Linked DNA regions of Caenorhabditis elegans. The protein of the gene in region 1 interacts with the protein of each later gene in a pairwise test. Each region holds a gene or a part of one and is shown in the gene's direction. Other genes may lie near its edges. The genes, in order: C24A3.2 and tars-1.

Region 1 (4,041 bases):
TCAGATCCCTGTACTCATTTTCATGTTTTCTATTTACAGAGTGCGCTTGAAGAGACTGAAGCTCGTCAAAAAAAGAAGAGCCAACGATTTGGTGGTAGTGGTGTGCCGCGCGCTGGGGGCCATTTTGTTTCGGTTCTTCTCTTTCTTTCTCTCTCAACGCATACATACACAAAATTTTCCGACGCCACCCCGTTAGTCCCGTCGCCCGTCCGCCGAGTCGTTGAGGCCCCCGTCACCCTCTTCTCTCAGAATATATTGATCCCTCCCGCATCTTCTTTTCGGAGCAAGCTTATTCTCCATCGTCTACTCCTTCTTCTTCTTCTTCTTCTTCTTCTTCTTCTTCTTCTTCTCCCTTCTCTATGAACTCGGCAGTGTTGGAAGGAGGATGAAGCCACTGCCGCCACCGCCGTTAGGCTGTAGGAGAAGGGGGGTCCCGGCTATTTTCTTTTTCTTCGACTACCGCTGGGGTCTCGTTTTCTTTGACGCCGCTTCTCTTGGTCCCTTACTACCAAGATATCTGCGTCTCAAAGGCTTGAACTATCTCTCTCCGAGTTCCGATTTCTCGAGAGTTACGCTCCAAAGTCAGTTGTTGTGCGTTCTTCGTCATCTGGATATCGCAAATTGCCCTGTTGTGTATTTTAGTACTTTTACCTGAAGACGCATTTATATTTTCCCAAACTGCAAAAAAAAAAGAGTAGACGTACTTGTCTTAGTTAAAACTTCAGCTGTTGTTAATTTGGAACAAAAGACGTCTGAATATGCGCTAAAAATGTCAATCAACACCGATGAAAGTTTTGCAAAAATTATTCAGATTTTTTATTTTTAATCTTCTCATTCAAACTTGACATACTTATTGTTAGAAAAATATTAGGATGCAGCATTAATATCAGTTATGTGTATGCTTCTTTTCAACGTTATTGAAAAACCAGGAATATTTTCATTTTTCCGGTGTTTGATGTTACGGTCCTAACTGTAAAGATCTATAGAGTTTATAAATTTTTTTACTCGATTTAACTTTTTTCTTTTCAAGCAATCCAAAAAAATTCTACACGCAATAAGAAAAGTTAAAAATTTAAATGTAGAAATTTATTTGTGAGGTTTTTTACAATTACTTTTTGAAAAAGTTTGTCAAGCTTGCTCGAAAATTTAGTAAAGCCAACAAACATAAACATAGACACCCTTTTCTCATTCGAGATGTCTTTTGTCTCTCTTCTTTTATCACAACAAAAAACATAGGGGGGACGTTTTGTTCTTTCTTTTTCCATGCATTTTTCCTATTTTTCCTATTTTTCCTTCGCCTCTTCAGCCACATACTTTTTTCAATTCTTTCCCAGATTGAAAAAAAGAGCAGAAAACCTTTTCCGTTTCTTCAATGTCGAAGACTTGCTTTTTTCAATTCAATTTTCCTTCTTTTCCCTTATTCTCCCATCCTTCTTTCCTTCTCCATTTGGTGTTTTTGGGTTTTCGAATTTACTCTACAAAAAACTCACAAAATGAGTTGGACTTCTTCCACAATGGGTTTCAAAGAGAAAAAAGTAAAAGACAAAATTCAACAAAATTGTGCAATGCCTACTGTTTGTGCTTTTGCTCCTCCTTACCTCCTCGGCTCTTTTTGCCACTGTTTGCTAAGTAAGCCGAGCTGCTTCTCAAGACATTGGGAAAAATTCGACAGAAGGTATCGCGAAAAACTACACTAAAATTTGCTCGAAATTTTGCTCCGAAATTAGTTGTCAGTCGAGTTGCGCTTGGGTCTTGGGTTTGCAGTTCATCTCTCCTTTTGCTTTCAAATTCAAAACGCTGTGCAGCGCGCCTCTCTCTCCATGGCTCACCCACTTTCCCTTTTTGCCGCAAATGGTGTGCTCCGTAGAGCATTGGCCAGTACGAGACCAGCATTTTCAATTTCTTTTCTTTCTGTTCATGTGAACCCTTCATTTTGAACACATCACCTTTTTCCATTTATCCAAAGAACGGCTTGCACCACGTTCCAAAAATGTATTCCCGTTAGAATGGCTTGTTTTTTTTTGTTTCGCCGTTAATCTTTCAAAAAAAAAGTTCACAAAAAAATTTAAAAATTATAAACTTTGCTTTATTATATTTTCCTTTCTTTTTTAACGTTTGGAAACCGTTCTCACGGTTTAATTTTCAGAATGGTCGACTTGAAGCAACAACTCCAATGGATTGACTACTTGGGTGTGGTTGCCGTGTGGCTCTGCTTCTTCGGTGCCATTTTAGTGATTTCCATCACCTGCATCCTGTGGTGCTGCGTATCGAAAGACGACGATCCAACTGTGTTTGCCAAGGTTTGTTATTTAAAAAATCTGTCTCAATTCGATTCGTTCTCTGCACATCCGCCGTCTCGTGTGAGGAGAGAAAGATCAGTGACGTCAACAGCACTTTATAGCTCATTGAGAAAAAATTTTTAGGAGACTAATAACTTTTTGGTGGAATTGTAATTGTAAAAAGTGTGATGCTTATAGGACAGTTGAGTGGTGAATTGTGAAATTTTATGGGAGAAGAAAAATGACGTCAGTGCGCGTCACTAAAAGAGTATGCATAAGAGGGCTCCGACACTCTTTGTTTAATTTGTTTGTTAAGAAAATGGGAGATGCATAAGAAAATAGAACATTAGTACGAAATGTTGATCAAATTCAACAACGGAATGGTTAATGAAAATTTTGAAATAGCCTTAGAGTGTAAATTAGATTAGGATCTGATGTTGAATTGTAGGAAATGTTTTTAAAAAAACTCAACAAAATATTTTTCAGTACGGATTCGGACCACAGCCACGCATTCCATCTCAGAGGTTGGCAGCTCAAGAGGCCAAGGCTGAATAACTTGCTTCTCACCTCTTCTGCTCATCTAACACCGTTTTCCCCCCATCTTCAAATAGATTCTTTACCCTATGTAGTTGTGTAACTTATGTTTCGGTAGGTAGATTGGTTTTCAAACTCAAAACTGCAATTTTGAGGAAAAAAGAAAACAAAAGAAATATTTAAATGTGAAACAGATGTATAATACAAAATAACTTATTGAAATCAATTTTTCAAGTCACAAAACAATATGGCTTTAATTACGCTAAATTTTGATTTTTCAGGTATCTTTTGAAATTATCTAGTTAATAATTTTTCAAATTTGCAAAATTTATCTAACACAATTTTTCAACTTTTTTGTTGCTAACATCTTTTGTTGAAGTTTCGATTTCCCAAAAAAAGACACCACAAAACATAATTAAACAATTATTCCAGATCAAAGTTGGAGGTGGATAAAGATTTCTAGATCAAAATCAAGACCAAGATCATCGAAAATGGTTCATGTCGATCGCCTTCTCTCCTCATTCCTTTTTTATTTTTTATTTTCAATTTAAAGTTCATCTCTGAATCAAAACTAACAAACAATTTTTTGTATTGATTTCTATGCAATTAACGTTTTACAATTATAGTGTTTGAATTCTTCATTTACCCATCACCATCTCTCGTTTTTTTTTAATGAATACATAGTTTTTTCTGGTTCACTTTACTTTCTCCTCCTTCTCACAGCTTATTGGAAATAATAAAGTTGCCAACAAAAAAAAAGGGATTTTTGAAAACAAAAGATGTTACGTATGAGGGTGGTCATAGCAACTTTCAGAGAAAACTGTTGCTAGGCGTGAAGCGTGCGGCGTTGCGAAAAAAAAGGAAAAGTAGGAAGAAAACGTCTAGTGTTTGGATCTTGAAAATAATGTCGCGACGACCTAGAGGAACACGAGATACTGCTAAGGATATTATTCTTGGACTAGCGTGAGTTTTCTTCAAAAAAACAATACATTTAATAGAAAACACATAAATTAATTTTTGGTTCAAAATTATTCTCTTTTTTTTGAAAACAAAACAGAATATGTTGAAAGGCATAATTTTCAAAATCCATATGTGAATTTTATTTTTTAATTAGGCTTTAATGTTTTTAATACACAAAAGTATTCATTTTTCATTTTTGTCTTCTATTTTGTGATTCATTTCTTATTAATTGAGTACACAGAGTTTGGTTTCTGTAGCTTTTGAAAAC
Region 2 (5,402 bases), on another chromosome or scaffold:
TAAAATTCTTTTGGAATCAATGCGATTCCGGCGTAGGAGCGTCCCTGCGACATTGGAGCCTGAAAAAAAAAACGGAAATTAAATAACAAAACATGTTTTAAAATGAGGAGACCCGAAGAACTCGGGGGATGTCCAACTGGGGGGATTACCAACTCGGGGGATTGGCCCCGCCCACAGAACCGTGGCTTGCAATACGCCCATTTCTGCAACTGCCGCACGGTTTTAAAATCATTTTTTCTTGTTAATTCTCGCTCTATTGAGAAAAATACAGTTTTAAAACCGTGCGGCAGTTGCAGAAATGGGCGTATTGCAAGCCACGGTTCTGTGGGCGGGGCCAATCCCCCGAGTTGGTAATCCCCCCAGTTGGACATCCCCCGAGTTCTTCGGGTCTCAAAATGAGATTTTAACTACAGTATTTTATTTAAAGGCGCCTAACACTGTTTCAGGTGGGTCTCACAGCGACCAGCTTTCATAGTGGAAATTTTTAAATAGAATTGAATTTTTCTCACTCAGTAAGTAGTATTTTTCGGTCAGTATTTAATGTATTTTCTTGTAATATTATGTTTTATCAAAACAAAAATTGTCAAAGAAAATTAAAATTGTGAAAACCCAATTTTTAAAAATTGAAAATTAACTACAGTACCTATTTAAAGGCGCATATTACTTTCTAGCTGGGTCTCGCGGAGACCAGTTTTCAATGCGGGATTTTTGAAAGAAAATCTATTTTCTTTGGTCAAAAATCACTTTTCCCGTCAAATTTTACTACTTTTTCTTTGTAATATTATGCTTACATCGACGATTTTCCACTGCGCGTCTGACCTGTCACTCAGCTGAATACATTCTATTGTTGACAGATTGCTCGAGCCGTCGTCGCCACCCACAGCATAGAGAAGACCTGCAAAAATGCTATTACTATTTAAAAATATGATTTAAAATTATTAATTCTACCGTTCAAAGCTGTAGCTGCGGTATTTCTTCTCGGAATTGCCATATTGGCGAGCTCAATCCATTCCTCTCCGATTAATATCTAAATTATCGACTTTTTTGGAGTAAAATATAATTTTTCCCATTCCTACCTCTGCTGATCGGTGAATTTCTGCCCCTTTATGTCCTCCTACTGCTATAATTTTCTTATCGTACACAGTGACGCCAGCTCCTGATCTGACATTCAGCATTGCAGGCCCTGGACGCCATTTGTGAGCTCTTCGATCGAAAATTTCTACCTAAAAAGTGCGGTGTTTCATTTATCGACGTATTTTTCTACTATTAAACCGAAGAATATAGTTTGGAATTTATTTACCACTATAATTCAGCAAGTGCGTCAGCTCACCACAAAACGCACCAAGGGGCTGACGCGTTTCTCGTGCGCCGCTAAATCTCAATTTCTGCAGACTTTTCCCTATTTCCATGCTTTTCATAAGTATTTTGCAGGGAATTTCTAGTTTTTTCGATGAAAATTTTAATTTTTTTAGGCTATAATTCGAGTTTTCTTTTTAAAATGTCGGTATTACTACCTTTAAAGTCAATGTTAATCCAGTAAAATCGAATTTTTCCTCTTTTTTACTTTTTCCTCTCCTCTGTGCACTCTGCCTCTCCCGTAAATTTCGCTATTTTGCTCAGTAGTATTGAACGCCACGTCGAAGCATTGCATCACTTTCCGTCATGCTTTAATAGTATTTCGAAATAAAAATTTACTTATTGTATTTAAGGTACGCGCAGCTTCTTATGGGAATCGTTAGATGCGATTGAACTGTTTCCGGATATTTGTTCACATTCAAAAACCGACACAAATCTTCAAACCGTTTTATCGCTCGCTTTCTTCCGAGGCTTCTGATAAATATCATTTTGTGAACGGCCACGTACGTACTTTTCCGTATAAACTTTAAGAATTGAGTTATTCACTAATTTAATTTTTTTAATTTCAGAAAATGTCGAAGGCCCCAACCGATATGGCGCCATGGCCGGCGTTCATTGAGGAGAGAATCAAACTTTGGGACAAGTTGAAGGCGGAATACGACGCTGAAATTGCTGCCAAAGAGTCTGAGCCAATTCAGATCACTCTTCCCGACGGAAAGATCCACGAGGGAAAGACATGGCGTACTACTCCATTCGAAATCGCCGAGAGAATCTCCAAGGGACTCGCCGAGGCCGCCGTCATCGCAAAAGTCAACGGAGCTGTGTGGGATTTGGATCGTCCATTTGAAGGAAATGCAAAGTTGGAGCTCTTGAAGTTTGATGATGATGAGGCTAAGCAAGTGAGTTTTTTGTTTAGTTTTTTATGGAAATAATTATCAATTTAATTTCAGGTTTTCTGGCACTCTTCTGCTCACGTTCTCGGAGAGGCTATGGAGCGTTATTGTGGAGGTCATCTTTGCTACGGACCACCAATCCAAGAAGGTTTCTACTATGATATGTGGCATGAGAACCGCACAATCTGCCCTGATGATTTCCCGAAGATCGATCAAATCGTAAAGGCCGCAGTAAAAGATAAGCAAAAGTTCGAGCGTCTTGAAATGACAAAAGAGGATCTGCTGGAAATGTTCAAGTACAATGAGTTCAAAGTCAGAATTATCACGGAAAAGATTCACACTCCAAAAACCACCGTCTATCGATGTGGACCCCTCATTGACTTGTGCCGTGGCCCCCACGTCCGTCACACCGGAAAAGTCAAGGCCATGGCAATCACCAAGAATTCATCGTCTTACTGGGAGGGAAAAGCCGACGCTGAGTCCTTGCAGAGACTTTATGGAATCTCGTTCCCCGATTCAAAGCAACTTAAAGAGTGGCAGAAACTTCAAGAAGAAGCCGCGAAGCGAGATCATCGTAAACTCGGAAAAGAACATGATCTCTTCTTCTTTCATCAACTTTCTCCGGGATCGGCGTTCTGGTATCCGAAAGGAGCACATATCTACAATAAGCTCGTCGATTTCATCCGAAAGCAGTACAGACGACGCGGTTTCACCGAGGTTATCACTCCAAATATGTACAACAAAAAGCTCTGGGAGACTTCCGGTCATTGGCAGCATTATTCGGAGGATATGTTCAAGATCGAGGTGGAGAAGGAAGAGTTCGGTTTGAAGCCGATGAACTGCCCGGGGCATTGTCTCATGTTCGGACACATGCCACACACCTACAATGAGCTTCCATTCCGATTCGCTGATTTTGGAGTTTTGCACAGAAATGAAATGTCTGGTGCTTTGACTGGACTTACACGTGTTCGTCGCTTCCAACAAGATGATGCTCACATTTTCTGTCGTCAAGATCAAATTTCCGAGGAGATCAAGGTATTTCTGCTTCTGATTCCGAGTGAAAAATTATTGTTTTAAAAATGTCCCAAAGTCGATTTACGAGAATTTTTTAAAATTCCGATATCAGTTGTTCAATGTTTCTTCATTTTCGTCGGTTTTTTTCTTTTAAATTAACATAAAAATCCAGCAAAATTTTCCGGTTTTCAGTTAGTTAAATATAATAAATTGTCACGAAAAAAAAAATCACGTAAATCGACAAATGGCGTCAAATGAAAGGCATATTTAAAAATTTTCACAAACCTAGATGTTCGGAATCAGGGAAAAATTGCCTTTTTAATGAAAAAAAAACCAACAAAATTTCAGCAATGCCTCGACTTCCTCGAGTACGCCTACGAGAAAGTGTTCGGCTTCACCTTCAAGCTTAACCTCTCGACACGACCAGAAGGATTCCTTGGAAACATCGAAACATGGGACAAGGCCGAAGCAGATCTCACCAATGCGCTCAACGCTTCAGGCAGAAAATGGGTGTTGAACCCGGGAGATGGAGCATTCTACGGACCGAAAATCGATATCACCATTCAAGATGCTCTCAAGAGAAACTTCCAGTGCGCCACAATTCAGCTTGACTTCCAACTTCCGAATCAATTTGATCTTTCCTATTTCGAGTGAGAAAAAAACTCTAAAATCTAAAAAAATTTAATTTTCAATTTTTCAGCGAGAAGGGAGAAAAGCAGAGACCAGTCATGATTCATCGTGCTGTTCTTGGATCAGTTGAGCGGATGACAGCTATTCTCACTGAAAGTTATGGAGGAAAATGGCCATTCTGGCTCTCACCAAGGCAATGTAAAATCATCACTGTTCACGAGTCAGTCAGAGACTATGCAAATGACGTCAAAAAGCAGATCTTCGAGGCCGGATTTGAGATTGAGTATGAGGAGAATTGTGGTGACACGATGAATAAGCAGGTACATTTAACTCCATTCTTAAGATATTTCAATATTAAAATTTTAGGTCCGAAAGGCCCAGCTTGCCCAGTTCAACTTCATTCTCGTCATTGGAGCCAAAGAAAAAGAGAACGGAACAGTAAATGTGCGCACCAGGGACAACGCAGTTCGAGGAGAGGTCGCACTCGACAAGCTTATCTCAAAGTTCAGAAGATTTGCTGACGAGTATGTCGCCGACACGGAAAAGTCTGAGGAATGGGCATAAACTTCTTGTTCGTTGATAATTTTATAATTATAGTATTTATTGGTTCCCCCCACGCGCCCACGTCTTCTAATGCATTGAATTCCAGTTAATTTTTGTGTTCCCTGATTGTTATCCTCTTCGGTATTGCTTTATATATTTGTTTGTTTTTTATTTTATTTCTTCGGTTTTTCTTTTACTCCCCATTTCCCACCAGTGTTTCTCATGAAGTAAAACAAACCGTATTCAGGCATTGCTTTGAGACACCATCGAATCCCCCAATCGCATAGATATCCTCTTCGAACGCTGCCACTCCAACACTTGATCTTCTCGTGCTCATTGATGGAAGTGGAAACCAATTTCCTGTGTGTGGATCGAAATATTCTGCACTCGCAAGCCCGGTAGTTCCATCGAATCCCCCAACTGCATACAACACCTGTTGACACGTGGTTATCCCGTGAGTGGATCGGCGAGCACTCATCTGATTCGCGGAACGCCATGTATCGGTTCGTGGATCATAGAAATCCACGGATCTCACCCGCTGTGCTCCATTGAACCCGCCAGTGGTGTACACGTAACCATTGCACATGCTCACTCCACTTCGGCACCTTCTCTGTGGAAGGGATGCACACGAGCTCCAGAGTTGGCTATCAGGATCGAACAAATCGACGTTGGTGATCGCTTTTGGAGCCTGCCCACCGACGATCATTATGTGCTGGGATTCTGGCATGGGTTCACGGGCGACGAACCATTTTCGGTTGAGCTCCTGAATCGGATAGTGGGGCTCCGTGCTGGAAATGTCTTGCTTCGTGATTTTCAGCTGATGCATTCCTTCGATGATCACGTTTAGACAAGCCGCATCACTTTTGATCATCTCGTCATTTCTCCATTTTTCGAAAAGATAATCATCACCCAGCAATGGCAGGCGAACATTTGACATTAGTCTGAAAGTTTTTATTCATTTGATTT

Evidence for each region.
Region 2: the proteins of C24A3.2 (region 1) and tars-1 interact in a two-hybrid assay, tested with the Caenorhabditis elegans proteins (one large-scale study listed by BioGRID).

The regions. Positions count from the first base shown.
Region 1 is NC_003284.9:8,995,354-8,999,394, forward strand, and holds C24A3.2 (Neuropeptide-like peptide 36), read left to right. Parts: upstream 1-2,146; 5' UTR 2,147-2,147; coding exon 2,148-2,300; intron 2,301-2,765; coding exon 2,766-2,803; coding exon of another isoform or gene 2,804-2,834; exon of another isoform or gene 2,835-2,927; intron 2,928-3,245; coding exon 3,246-3,276; 3' UTR 3,277-3,506; downstream 3,507-4,041. Other genes in the region: C24A3.1 (Kinesin-like protein), read left to right, coding at 3,718-3,776.
Region 2 is NC_003280.10:11,690,601-11,696,002, reverse strand, and holds tars-1 (Threonine--tRNA ligase, cytoplasmic), read left to right. Parts: upstream 1-1,709; 5' UTR 1,710-1,739; coding exon 1,740-1,859; intron 1,860-1,925; coding exon 1,926-2,255; intron 2,256-2,306; coding exon 2,307-3,284; intron 3,285-3,611; coding exon 3,612-3,913; intron 3,914-3,963; coding exon 3,964-4,213; intron 4,214-4,259; coding exon 4,260-4,457; 3' UTR 4,458-4,674; downstream 4,675-5,402. Other genes in the region: kel-1 (BTB domain-containing protein), read right to left, coding at 1-59, 792-895, 949-1,027, 1,077-1,223, 4,675-5,377.